Linked DNA regions of Rattus norvegicus. The protein of the gene in region 2 purifies or fractionates together with the protein of the main gene of each other region. This does not show direct contact. Links are inferred from orthologs where the notes say so. Each region holds a gene or a part of one and is shown on either strand. Other genes may lie near its edges.

Region 1 (4,906 bases), on a different chromosome or scaffold from region 2:
ACACTCACTCTCACACTCACTCACACTCACTCCCTCTCTCCCTCTCACTCACTCTCTCACACTGCTGCAAATTACTGGGATCAAACACACTAAAGGTTTATGAATGCATTTATCCTGGCCCCGGCTCACCTTCAAATCCAACTCGCTCAAGCAGGTTCAGCGGGTACCAAATTAAAGGTTTGTTTCCAACTGGAAGCAGAGGCTTGGGAATGCTGGAAGTCAAGTCTGTCATCCGAGATCCCCCACCGACGGCCATAACTACGGCTTGAAACTCCATTTTTACAAATCTGCAAGCACAGGAGGAGAAAGAGTAACTTAAATCAAATGACACACAGTACGATTTGTCTCTATTTACATGAGCACTTCCCACCTATACCAGATGTATCACTTCTGCTCTAGTTACCAAAGTAAGAAACACTCCCTAACTGCAGCAAAATCATCTTTCTCGCCTTCTCTAGCCAACATGAGTTTTAGCTCCAATTCTAGTAAAAGCAGAGTAATATAAATTAAAAACATCTGGCCTGCACCCTTGAGTTGTTTATAGTTAAGATCAGACAAGTCCAAGTACCAGTGCGGTGGCATATTTAATCCCAGCATTTGGGAAGCAGAGGCAGGCAGATCTCTATGAGTTTAAGGCCAACCTGGTCAACACAGAGTAAATTCCAGCACAACCGAAACTACATCGAGAGACCCCCATCTCAAAAACACTAGCTGGGGAATTGCAGTTCTCATGTTGCAAAGGAAACATCCCTTTGCAAAAGATCAGACCATTACAGATCACAACTGATCAAAAGAAAGAGTTGTGGAGCCCCGTTCCACCTAATACCTGTAAGAAGGTCCTGCAGCTAAGGCTCGGTGATCATAAGAGTGCAGAAAGACAGAGGGACAGGAATGTTTGCCATGGGTTTGTCTCCTAGATATGCCAGAGACTATACAACCATGAAGTGTCACCAACATGGCTCCCTAAACAAGACTGAACAAGGATAATAGTAACAGACAACTTAACATCTGAGAGAGAAAGCTTACAAGGCCTTAACCCTAAGCAAAAAATTACAGGCAACTAAGAAATGCTGAGAGCAAGTGAAACTGAACATCAATTGGTTATCCATTATCAAATGACCAGCCCTGAAAAAATACATATACTGACCGAGCATGCTGTAGTTATGCATTTAGGAAACACATGTCCACATTCACTAAGCTGCTGGGATTAAATGAGGGCTCACTTGTCTAGTATGTACGAGGACTTAGGTTATATTCCGTACACAGGAATAAAAAAGTAATTCTACATAAAACACGCAAAATAATGTTCATCCTATAACAAGCACTATATACATGTTTCATATTATTGGACAGATGCTAGATCATGGAAACCCCACTATACCAATTGAACTATACTGTTCTATAACTCTGGGTCTATATATCTCTCTTGTAAAAAATAATTTTTTAAAAAAAATTTTATGGGCTGGAGAGATGGCTCAGTGGTTAAGAGCACTGACTGCTCTTCCAGAGGTCCTGAGTTCAAATCCCAGCAACCACATGGTGGCTCACAACCATCTGTAATGGGATCTGATGCCCTCTTCTGGTCTGTCTGAAGACAGTTACAGTGTACTCATATATAATAAATAAATAAATCTTTAAAAAAAAAAAAAAAAAAGGGCTGGAGAGATGGCTCAGCGGTTAAGAGCACTGACTGCTCTTCCAGAGGTCCTGAGTTCAAATCCCAGCAACCACATGGTGGCTCACAACCATCTGTAATGAAATCTGATGCCCTCTTCTGGTGTGTTTGAAGACAACTACAGTGTACTCATAAGTGAATAAATCTTTAAAAAAAAAAAAATTTTATGTGTGTGTTATGTTGAGTGCATGTATGGAGTCAGATCCCCTGTAAGTGGAGTTATAGATGGTTATAAGCCACCGTGTAGGTGCTGAGAATTGAACCTGGGTCCTTTGGAAGAACATCCAGTGCTTTTAACCACCGAGGCATCTTTCCAGCCTCCTATAGGTCCTTTTGAAGTGGATAGGTACTACTATGCTGTCTCAGCTAGTGTGATGGCCTTTCCTAGATGTGACCCCACTACAGATCAGTACACGCAACCTGGTGGTTCCAGACTCCTCTAGAGGTCTCCATATTGATGCTTGTGAGTCTAGTACTAACACCTGATTATAAAGTGTGTATTAACTTTCTGGGCTCAAGTGATTTCCATCCTATCACCTTATTAGCTGGGACTGCAGGTTTACTGGGACTCCTGCATTAGATTGGATTTCTCCTGGGCCAAGTAACCAAACTCTTAAAAAACTCAGCTCAAAATTCATCTTCCATAGCATGATACTACAACTAACCCTGCACACCAATGATGGGACTTCTTTCACTAGTGGCTTCTACTATACTTTGTACAGATTGCATCAGCCTTTATAGGCTTCATTGCAGGCATTCATTTAAATGCCTATTAAGACTGAGTTCCTTGAAGTTGTTGTCAGGATACTCCCAGTCAGATGCCAGGTACTATGTGTGGAATGAGCATCTGTGAACCTCACAGCAGCCCAACATTAGTGTTAAGCTCAAAAGGGGGCATTTAAAACCCAGGTGACTAGAACCTAAAGTTCCTGTTCTCAATCTCTGGGTAAACAAACAAACCAACCCCACAACCTAAGAAACAAGAATACTTAGGAACCTAACCAATCAATCGTAAGGCTAAACAGACTCAAAAGTCTCAACTTTTCCGTAGTGACTGACTGCCGATATCAAGCCGGTGAGTCTCATCAGCCTCCAAGTTTTATAGGAGGCGTTTACAAAGTCTCAGTCATGCCTTCCCCACAGCGTAAATTGCCGTCTCCAGTTCAAAATGGTAAGATCGACCACTGCATTGTTTTTGGTTTGCTAAACCCTTGAGCGCTGCCTAAAGAGCCTTACTGTATCCCATTTAGTCCCTGCCTTGAGCCCAAACAAATGTGGGATGAATAATGTGGAAAGCATGTCAGCAAGGCACCAAGGGAGTCAGTGCTCACTTGGTGTGACTTCGAGCAGAACCGTCCCTCCCCGAAACTGTTTTTCCATCTGTTGCACAAGGTGGCTTGGATTCTCCAGTTCCCCAATTGGGACACATGGCTCTATGGCTGGGGCCGGCAGGGACTCGCTTTGATGATTTCCCCGTCTGCCCACTCGGGCCCTGTTCAGCGACCTGGCCTCCCTCACACGAACCCGGCTCTCCGCACCCGCGTGCCGCTCACCTTGCTTAGCCAGCTCGTGCACCGCCTGGTACCGTACTAGCCCCGGCTTTACCTCAGCTCCCCGCACGCCGTAGCCGCTCCCAGCGCTCCCCACGCTGCCTCCGGCTGACAAGCCAAAGGCGCAGGCGCGCGGTGGCCGAGCGGTTCGATATGACGTGCCGACTCAGGAAGGAGGAACGAGTGCCGAGTAATAGATGGCACAGAGCAGAGACGCTCCTGCTCTTGGCGGTGCTGAGCGTGTTGGAAACCAAGCAGCCCGTGAACTGTGGTATGGAGTTTCTATATTGCTATCCAGTGCTCGCTGAGTGTCCCCTTCAATTTCCTCCGTTGGGAGTTGCCATTTTAAACCTCAGTCTCAAGGTGCAAATTTTGAGTATCAGTGCTTTTTATTTTGTTTTTTGATTTTTCAAGACAGGGTTTCTCTGTGTAGCCCTGGCTGTCCTGAAACTCACTCTGTAGACCTGGCTGGCCTCGAACTCACAGAGATCCACCTGCTGAGATTCCCCCTGCCTCTGCCTCGGGAGAGCTGGAATTAAAGGCCTGCACCAAACAAACAAACAAATAACAAGAACAACAACAAAAACTCCCTACCAAATTCCTTTGCAGGTCAGTGGTTGGGTAGGCTTCCAGTGTGTAAGATGCCTGATTGTATCAAACTTTAGCCATCAAACAATAAATTCATCTCTGATGGCACTTAATGGTTTGAAGAGAGTTAAGCAGGTTGAGCCTTGGGAAAGAGCCTTCCAAGCTGCCTAGACAACAAGTGCAAAGATCCTGCCGGTGGTGGCACATGCCTTTAATCCCAGCACTTGGGAGGCAGAAGCAGGTGGATTTCTGTGAGTTCGAGGCCAGCCTGGTCTACAGCATGAGTTCCAGGACAGCCAGGGTTACACAGGGAAACTCTCTCAAAAAACAAACAACAACCAGGATTATACAGAGGGAAATTCTGCCTCGAAAAACAAAGAACAAGGGCTGGAGAGATGGCTCAGTGGATAAGAGCACTGAACTGCTGTTCCAGAGGTCCTGAGTTCAATTCCCAGCAACTACATGGTGGCTCACAACCATCTGTAATGGGATCTGACGCCCTCTTCTGGTGTGTCTGAAGACAGCTACAGTGTACTCATAGACATAAAATCATTTAAAAAAAACAACCATAAAATAGAAAAACAAAGAGCAAAAAACAAACAAATCCCAAGAGAGAAAGACACCCCCTCTTCCCCCTTGAGTCCTCGAGTTCAACAAATGGCAACAAGGTCACAGAAATCAAGCAGGAAGGGGGGGAGGGAGGGGAGGGAAGGGAGAAGGGAGGGGGAGGGGGAGGGAGAGGGGGTGAGGGAAGGGTACCTGAGGGCGTCAGATGGAAGAGAATTCATATTCCAACAGCTTGTAGGGTAGGTTAAAGGGAGGAACATGAATGTAAGAAAAAATGTTTAAAAATTTATGTATACACTGTTGCTGTCTTCAGACACAGCAGAAGAGGGCATCAGTCAGTGCTCTTAGCCATCTTTCCAGCCCCAAAGCACTCTTTTTTTATAGCCTCTTAACTCAAACAGCTCAGGAGGAAACAAAGCCCCATGGCGTCTGCAGCCCAGGTTCTACAGTCCTGTCTTCACATTGGCATATAATGGCTTTGAGTATGGTGGTGCGTGCTATTGCGTGTCTGTGATCCCGGCACTAG
Region 2 (3,558 bases):
GGCTCCAAGCAGTTTTCAGATTAGAGTTTGAATCCTGTCCATAAAATCTGACTGGGTAGCATCTCTCCCCTCGCCCTGTAGCGGGGTTATCACAAGGTCATGAGGGTGCAAGACAGGCTGCTAGGGTCTTGTTTCTGAGACAGGCTCGTGTAGCCCAGCCTGGCCCAGTCCTTCCTCAGAGTGTCAGGGTGCTGGCATGAGCCTCAGCCTAGCTGCTCGTGTTTTCAGAGTAAAAGGCAAAGGTCAGGCTATGGTCAGCAGTAAGGTATCCTCCACTCTGTGTCTGCATATGGGCTGTGCAGTGGGCGCCTTGTCTAAGCTGAGTCATCCGTGTCTGTCACTAACAGATAGTAATCCTTTGAAAAGAAAGCTCACTATTTAAGCGGTTGGGGGTTCTGGGATAAGCATCTTCGTGGTACTGTCTTAAAAAGTAAGCTGTAACACGCCTGCTATCCAGCACCGGGAGGCAGAGGCAGGTGAATCTGTGAGCCTGGCCAACCCAGTATTTCCCTTCCCATTTCCTTAGCTATATCATGGAGAAAGTAGACCTTGTCATCGTTGGTGCTGAAGGAGTGGTAGAGAATGGAGGAATTATTAACAAGGTGGGTACTGTCACTATTCCCAGAAGCCCCGGCAGCCTGAACAAGACTTTGGTCGGCCTTCTTCCTTGGAGGCTGGTCTTGGTGAATTTAGTCAGTGGCATTTGCATTTATATACAATAGGTCCATTCGTTTGGACCTGGATTTGACAGGGTATTATGTAGCTCAGGGTAGCCTCAGATGGTCAAACTCCTGTGTGTGCCCCCCAAGTGCTCAGATCATAGGCATGACCACCATACCCCAGCAAACTGGATGCAGCTTGGAATTGTCTCTGGTTTTGTTTCCATTTGATTGAGGACTTCCATCCCCAGGGTTTATTGCGATTTCTTTGTCGCTTACAAAGTTTTTGGAAACTGTCTGTGACAAACACCTTAATCATGTTAAGCTGTGCACGAACCGTCCTAAGTCCCCGGTTCACTGGCGTTCAGCACACTCACACCACACAGTGTTTATAAAACTTACTGTTTGTCTCAGATGGCCTTTTCTCATGTCCCTGGTCACCTGTGTTCTGCTCTGTACTGACTTTTCCAGTCCAGGGGACCACAAATAAGTACATTCACAGGATGCTCGTGACTTTGAGCTTGACATGATTCGGTGGCCACAGTGCAGTATGTAACTGCTGTGTCCTTTCAAGCAGAGTACAGTTCTGTCATGACACCACCACGTGCCCATGTTCACTTGTAGTGGATACTTGGATTTTCCTGCTGTTGGCCGTGGTATAGGGTACTGCCGTGTACACTGGACCACAGGTGTCTGAATCCCCCAGAAGTGGAAAGTGCTGGCTTATCTTAGACTGCACTTATTTTCTCTGACTGGTGACCCTGGCATCTTTTCATGTACTTTGGGTAGAAAAATTGTTTTCTTTCTTAAAAGGTCCTCTTTGAGGATTAGGATTATAGCTTAGCTGGCAGAATGCCTGTTTAGCATGTTGAAACCCCGAGTTCAACCCCAGCACTAGATAGACCAGCTCTGGCGGAACTCAAGTAATCCCAGCACTAGGGGGAGTGGAGGCAGGAGGATTAGAAGTTTTAAAACAATCTTGAATGCAAGGCCAGAAAGAAATACATTAAGAACTTGTCTTTAAAAAGCAATAGTTCTGATGGCCATGCCTTAATTACACTTACTCTCCTTCCTTCTGCTTCATTGAGCTATGTAAGCTCACCCGGTGTCCATTTCCCTGACTTCTCAGATCGGAACCAACCAGATGGCCGTGTGTGCCAAAGCCCAGAACAAGCCCTTCTATGTGGTTGCAGAAAGTTTCAAGTTTGTACGGCTCTTTCCACTCAACCAGCAAGATGTCCCAGATAAGTTTAAGGTAAGTTTTATGTATTTGACAGTGATCTTTGACTCTACCCTGAAACCACAATGGTCCAGAAAGTTCCCCTTCCCATTGCTGTCTCCTCCAGTGCTTTTCCAGTGGGGATGGTGATTGGACCTGGGCACACTGGGGCAAAACCTCATTTACATAGCACTCTGCTGGGTAACAGAACCCGTCTCTTCGTCCCATCTCTGCCTTTACATACATGTGGCCTTGGCCAGGTACTTCCATTGGCCTCTCCTCTCCTTGCCTTTCCTCAGTACAAGGCAGACACCCTGAAGTCTGTGCAGGCTGGACAGGACCTCAAAGAGGAACACCCATGGGTCGACTACACCTCCCCATCCCTCATCACACTGCTGTTTACGGACTTAGGTGTGTTGACACCATCCGCTGTAAGCGACGAGCTCATCAAGCTGTACCTGTGAGCAGTGCCCCTCCTGCCAACATGCAGGGAGCACATCTTGTGCAGGGTGAGCAGCCTTTCCACTCCAGCCAGCCAGGGGCCAACAATGGGACTTTCAGACCTGTATGCCAAGGGCTCATTTCAGAGGCCCTGAAGAATCCTTTTACTCTTGCTGTCACATCTGAAGCCTGGTCCCAGTTCTAGAAGCAAGGTGAAGCAACCTTGTGGTTTTTAGAGACTCAGTCTCCGGAAGAACAAGTTAATTACAGACTGCAAAGCTGAGGAGAGATGGCACAGGAGCAGGGACCCCCCAGCCGTGCTGCATCACTGAGAGATGCGGTGACATTGGCTGAGTACACACCTTCAGTGCCTCACAAGACAGCAGACACTGTAGCTGACGGCATCTGGCTCCATGCCCTCAGCAGGATCCAGCCAGATAGAAAAAACACCAATGCAGGAGCCATTCACATGGCACTGTCACAGAATGTTGTCTGTAAAAGATGCGAGTTTACTCTAAACATGTTTAAAACCTGAACCGTGGGTTTTTTGTTTTTTGTTTTTTTTTTTTTAAGTTAAATGTGAGAACAGGCCAGGATATTTTCCAGTAAGTTGTATGAACAATTTGGATATGGTATTGCCTCACACAAGTTGACAAAGACCAGAAACAGTGCAAGCACAGTTGGGCAGAACCTGTTACCAGAAAAGGCCTAGCAGCACTTCTCAGGATAAGATACCCTTCCTGTTTTCAATAAAACACCACCAGAGCCCGTTCTAAAATGTTCTCAACCCCAATCTGGGTATCATGGCACCAGCCTGTGGTCCCAGAACTCCTGGCTAAGGCAGGGGGTCAGTCTGAGGTCATCCTGGACTACATAGTTGTCTTAGTTTGGGTCTCATTCCTGAAAGAGACTCCATGGCAACTCTTACAAAGGCAAACATTTAGCTGGGGCTGGCTAGTAGTTCCAGAGGTTCAGTCCGTTATCATCATGGTGGGAAGCCTGGCAGTGTACAGGCTGATGTGGGGCTGGAGAAGCCGAGTTCTACACCTTGATCCAAAAGCAGCCAGAAGGCTTTCTTCCACACTGGGTGGGGCTTGAGCCTAGGAGCCCTCAAAGGCTGCCTACGCCATGACATACCTCAAGGCCACACCTAATAGTGCCGCTTCCCATGGGCCAAGCATATACAAACCACTACAATGGTGTAGCCCTGTTGCAATGAAAAGAAGAGAAAAAAGAACC
Region 3 (4,881 bases), on a different chromosome or scaffold from region 2:
CAATCACGCAGAACGTACATGTATACATTCTTTTATTTTGGTCGTGTTTGCCTACCCGTTTGATCAGTTGTCGCGAGGCCTCACTGCAGATCTCACTTCCTCCTGTCTCAGTCGGTGGTGGAAATATACACCCTTGGGTGACCTGTACTACATTGATTTAATTGAAATTTTTTTACTAACCTTTTCCCTCTTTGTACCGACGTTTTCAAAAGCAAATGTTGTTCTCACAGCACCCTCCTTAACTGAGCGAAGAAAGAAATAACAGGTTTCTGAGTTCCATGAGGAATCTAAACTGTAGAAACACAAACTAACCACTCTCTGTGGGGAGAGAGGGCATCTGGGGGAGGTGGGTGGAAGCAACAGAGGGAGTTGCTGAAACCTGCAGGCTGTGGGATTAGCAGAGGTTCTGGTGCTGAATGGGCACAGATTGCTTACAGGAATTTTTTGGCTTGACAGAATTACGCCCAGGCTGTGTGCCATTGCTTCCTCAGCCTTAAGCTTGATTTATAAACTGCGGCCACAGCTTCTTTTCCCGAAACCTGTTGCTCTGCTTCAGCGTCCAGCCTGAAAAGCTTGCTTACTACGCCCCAATCCTACAGTTTACTGCTGCTCTTAGATCCAGCCTCTTCTGTGATAACGCTTGTGGAACTAGGGAGTCAGATGAGCCCCAGCACCAGTCTTTCCACTCACTAGTTGGGCGTGCTTCCTTGGTCTGATTTAAATGTTTAAGAAATGCCCGTGCTTTAGGTCGTATTTCCAGAACGGGAGGAGGGAGGGGACACGGAGGAGGGAAGGGACACGACCTAGCCCATAATCCGCGGGTGCTCCGTAAAATTAACCGCTTGGGGTTGGGGATTTAGCTCAGTGGTAGAGCGCTTGCCTAGCAATCACAAGGCCCTGGGTTCGGTCCTCAGCTCCGAAAAAAAAAAAAAAAATTAACCGCTTGCCTCCACGTTCAGTATTTGGGCAGATCGTGGGTTCCCTCCCAAAGACGACAGATCCCCTTAGATGACTAGAATTGCAAGTGGAGAGCTACATTTAATTTTTAGATTTATGTGGAAGAGTGTTTTGCCAGCTTGTATGTATTCCACAGGCATGTGTCCAGTTGAAAGTGAGTTGGACACCACAGAATTGCAATTGTGCATAGTTGCTTGCCACCACGTGAGCGCTGGGCGCCGAAGTTGGATTCTCTGCAAGAGCAGTAAGTGCCCTTAACCGATGAGCGATTTCTCCAGCTCTGGGCAGGGAAGCTGCAGACTCCTGCCGGGCGATCACAAGCCTACTCAGCTCGCTGCCATCTTAGCTTGCCTAACTCAGCAGCACTCGCTGACCGAGTTTGACAACGGTGGGATCTCACCCCTCCGTGGTAAGTGCACCACCCAGTACCGCCAACTCCTACAAAACTAGCACGGTCTGCCACGCCCCGGCTCTGGCCTTGCACGGGGGTGGGTGGGGCCTGCTAGTATACACATGCGCACTCCTTCCTCTTTCTCTCCTTGCAATCACACCTTCGCGTTTTGACTGCGAGTCCTTTTTGTCCCCTACTGCGTGCGGTGTGGCTTCCCGGCGGACGTGCTGACTGCGAAGCAAAATGGCAGCCACTGCGGCGGTTCCCAGCGCTGTAGGCGGCCGAGCGAACAAACGCGGCGGCGGCTCCGGCGGCGGTGGAACCCAAGGTGCGGAGGAGGAGCCGCCGCCGCCCCTCCAGGCAGTTTTAGTGGCCGATAGCTTCGACCGCCGCTTCTTCCCCATCTCCAAGGACCAGCCTCGGGTGAGGACCCGGCACGCGAGCAACCTGCGGGCCTGGAGGGTAGCAGGGCTACAAGTTGCCACTGCAGCTTGCTAGTGAAGCGTGTTCTGAAAGTTACCATAAAGTTGAGTTTTTCTGGTTGAGAGAAAGTGGAGGGACTGACTGAAACCCCGGTGGCTGTCCGTCCAGATGAGTAGCTAGCAAATATGGATTCTCGCAGGGCTGTCTGCCCAGCCTTGAGAAGGATTGAGAGGGCTGTGTATAGAATCAGTGTTTGAGGGGGTTGGGGATTTAACTCAGTGGTAGAGCGCTTGCCTAGCAAGCGCAAGGCCCTGGGTTCGGTCCCCAGCTCCGAAAAAAAGAAAAGGAAAAAAAAAAATCAGTGTTTGAAAGAAGCCTTCCCAGGGGGATTTAGTAGCGCAAGGGGGCCTCCATTGCCTCTAACCTTGCAGGACATGGGCAATTTAAAAAATGCTTCAAAAAGCGATGGTAATATATACCTAAAGGGAAAAAGGCTAGATCTCGGCCTGGTACGGGCTCTTTTCCTCCCATCTGCTGCAAGGGGAACCGAGTGGGTTCCCCTCAGCCTTGGAACTACCTAGACATAGGACATTGGTATTGGGCTTGCAGACTGCTCGGTCCCTCAGCAAACAGGGATTTGCCTTTTACTTAAGAATTCCTAAGGCTAACGACTGTTCACTTTTGACAAGTGTTTGAATGATTTCTGTGACTCAGTGTCAATAGGAGGAAATTCTATGAGAAGAAGGTCTTAGTGCTTAGAGTTATAGAGCTATGATTTAGGGCCAACATTTGTCCTTAATGTCAGCCCTGGTTTCCTATAACATATTCTGTGTCTGATACCATGTCTACTAGGCCCAAATCTTAGACTGAACCTTTGGGCCTATTTGCTTTAGAATAAAAGGGTAAAGCAAACTGTAGTGTCTGCAAGCCCCGATGAAAGGCACATTGTTGCAGTGGGGTACCTGAAGTATAATAATGGCTTGAAGACCTCAGACTTTTTCATATCCTGCCCTATAGGTCCTATTGCCCCTGGCCAATGTCGCGCTGATCGACTATACTCTGGAATTCTTGACTGCCACGGGTGTACAGGAAACATTTGTCTTTTGCTGCTGGAAGGCTGCTCAGATCAAAGAACACTTACAGTAAGGCTCGGGAATTTTTCCTTTCCATGCTTCACCGTCTTTTTTCCAGTCCTTCCAGCATGGGTTTGACGAGGTAGAGACATGAGGAAAACTGCATCTGTTCTGAGCTCGTGTATGATTTAGTGTTTTCTTCACGTGTCCTGAGAGAAGCTGCTGGAGCTTTCTTTGCCTTGAGGTTTCAGTGATGGAAATCGAAAGGCTTGGCTATGATTTTCTGAGTCTTTCAAAGTTCGTTCCAGTGAGTTTTGCTTTTTATGTTCCAGTGGGTATGTTATTGGAAGAGCATCTTTATTTTCCCACTGAATTTCTAAACACTGTCTGTTCTGACCCCCCAGTGACAGGAACAAGTTCTTTCCCCTTGTCTCCCCCACTGCCCTCCTTAGTTTCAAGCCCACTGTAAGTTCTTAAGAGATGCTTGTTAAAATTTGGAAGAGCTAGTCTGGGAATTTATGAGTTTTGGAAGTAAAGACTAGTATACTGAACATGTTTTCCATGTTACCGTGCTTAAAGTTGATACAGACTCAGAACAAGAAAGATGACTTGAAAAAAAAAATGTGTTCCCAGAATACTTTCATAGCCTAGATTTCATAGGATTTTAAATTCAAACTCACATTTCAAGACGGGAGTCAAGGTATAGAAAGGAAATGGTCATACTTCTCAAACACATAAAACTAATGACACTGGAAGCCGAAACCATTTATTATGGTTCACGCGTCTCTTTGAAGCCAGAGACGCTGGCAGGAAGCCAGAGAAGCCACAGAGGAGTATAAATGCTGAATGGAGGTTAGAGGTCAGGTCTGTGATAGTCTGTTTACTTTATAGTTCCTCATCACTTTCCCACAGGAAATCCAAATGGTGCCATCCTACGTCCCTCAATGTTGTTCGAATAATCACATCAGACCTGTACCGATCACTAGGAGATGTCCTCCGTGATGTCGATGCCAAGGCCTTGGTGCGCTCTGATTTCCTCCTGATATATGGAGATGTCGTCTCAAATATCAATATTTCCAAAGCCCTGGAGGAACACAGGTCAGGTGGGGAAGACGGCAGGGACAAGACTTAGGGACCAGTTGAGTCCTAAGACTAACTCTGCCCCTCCTTCTTTATAGGTTAAGAAGGAAGCTAGAAAAAAATGTGTCTGTCATGACAATGGTGTTCAAAGAGTCCTCACCCAGTCACCCTACACGCTGCCATGAGGACAATGTGGTGCTAGCTGTGGATAGCACCACAAACAGGATTCTTCACTTCCAGAAGACCCAAGGCCTCCGCCATTTCTCCTTTCCTTTGGTAACTGGGTGTCTGGGGAACTCAGGTAGAAGAGGGAGGAGCTTCGAGAGGAGAGATGAGCTAAAGCCTTTGTAACTTCTCCCCTCAGGGCCTATTCCAGGGCAGTCTAGACGGAGTGGAGATTCGATATGACTTGTTGGATTGTCACATCAGCATCTGCTCTCCTCAGGTGAACTCTTCAGAACAGAGCTGCATAGCCAAAGAGCAAAACTCTAGGGGTCTGTTCCCTTTCAAGTCCAGGGGATGCATCTTTCCCCTCTTTTTCTGGTTTGTTGTACAGTAGAGAAGCACAATTACTTCATTCCCAGTATATTGGGAACCAAATCTAGGGTTTGTCCTACAGCCAGTTACTATGGCTTTGATAGCTCTCTGGACGTTGTTACTGTAAAGCACCTACCCTTAGCATAGTGTGTTTTCTCCACAGGTAGCTCAGCTCTTCACAGACAACTTTGACTACCAAACTCGAGATGATTTTGTGCGAGGCCTGCTAGTGAATGAGGAGGTGAGGAAAGCTCCCAAAACGTCTAGAGGAGAGGGTTTGTCTTGCTCTGGTAACCTTGGGTTCCCTTTTGCGTTTCATTAAGCCTGAGACAGCTGGGAGCAACGATCCATAAAGAAAGCTCAGGCCATTTGATGGTGTCATCGAGCGGCAGAGAGGCACTGAGAGGCTTAGAAGGGTGT

What was found.
Region 1: the proteins of Eif2b1 (region 2) and Eif2b3 purify together in Homo sapiens (affinity purification with mass spectrometry; 7 studies listed by BioGRID and IntAct, counting the BioPlex papers as one, with this or other methods). This does not show direct contact. The link is inferred for Rattus norvegicus from reciprocal best matches to the Homo sapiens genes EIF2B1 and EIF2B3.
Region 3: the proteins of Eif2b1 (region 2) and Eif2b5 purify together in Homo sapiens (affinity purification with mass spectrometry; 7 studies listed by BioGRID and IntAct, counting the BioPlex papers as one, with this or other methods). This does not show direct contact. The link is inferred for Rattus norvegicus from reciprocal best matches to the Homo sapiens genes EIF2B1 and EIF2B5.

The regions. Positions count from the first base shown.
Region 1 is NC_086023.1:135,727,262-135,732,167, reverse strand, and holds the start of Eif2b3 (translation initiation factor eIF2B subunit gamma), read right to left. Parts: upstream 3,327-4,906; 5' UTR 3,229-3,326; exon of another isoform or gene 3,105-3,228; coding exon of another isoform or gene 3,007-3,104; intron 288-3,006; coding exon of another isoform or gene 278-287; coding exon 130-277; intron 1-129. UniProt on the Homo sapiens protein: Acts as a component of the translation initiation factor 2B (eIF2B) complex, which catalyzes the exchange of GDP for GTP on the eukaryotic initiation factor 2 (eIF2) complex gamma subunit.
Region 2 is NC_086030.1:37,691,976-37,695,533, forward strand, and holds the end of Eif2b1 (translation initiation factor eIF2B subunit alpha), read left to right. Parts: intron 1-526; coding exon 527-602; intron 603-1,788; coding exon 1,789-1,914; intron 1,915-2,177; coding exon 2,178-2,342; 3' UTR 2,343-2,855; downstream 2,856-3,558.
Region 3 is NC_086029.1:93,905,475-93,910,355, reverse strand, and holds the start of Eif2b5 (translation initiation factor eIF2B subunit epsilon), read left to right. Parts: upstream 1-1,555; 5' UTR 1,556-1,591; coding exon 1,592-1,771; intron 1,772-2,788; coding exon 2,789-2,913; intron 2,914-3,756; coding exon 3,757-3,942; intron 3,943-4,022; coding exon 4,023-4,200; intron 4,201-4,288; coding exon 4,289-4,369; intron 4,370-4,624; coding exon 4,625-4,702; intron 4,703-4,881. UniProt on the Homo sapiens protein: Acts as a component of the translation initiation factor 2B (eIF2B) complex, which catalyzes the exchange of GDP for GTP on eukaryotic initiation factor 2 (eIF2) gamma subunit.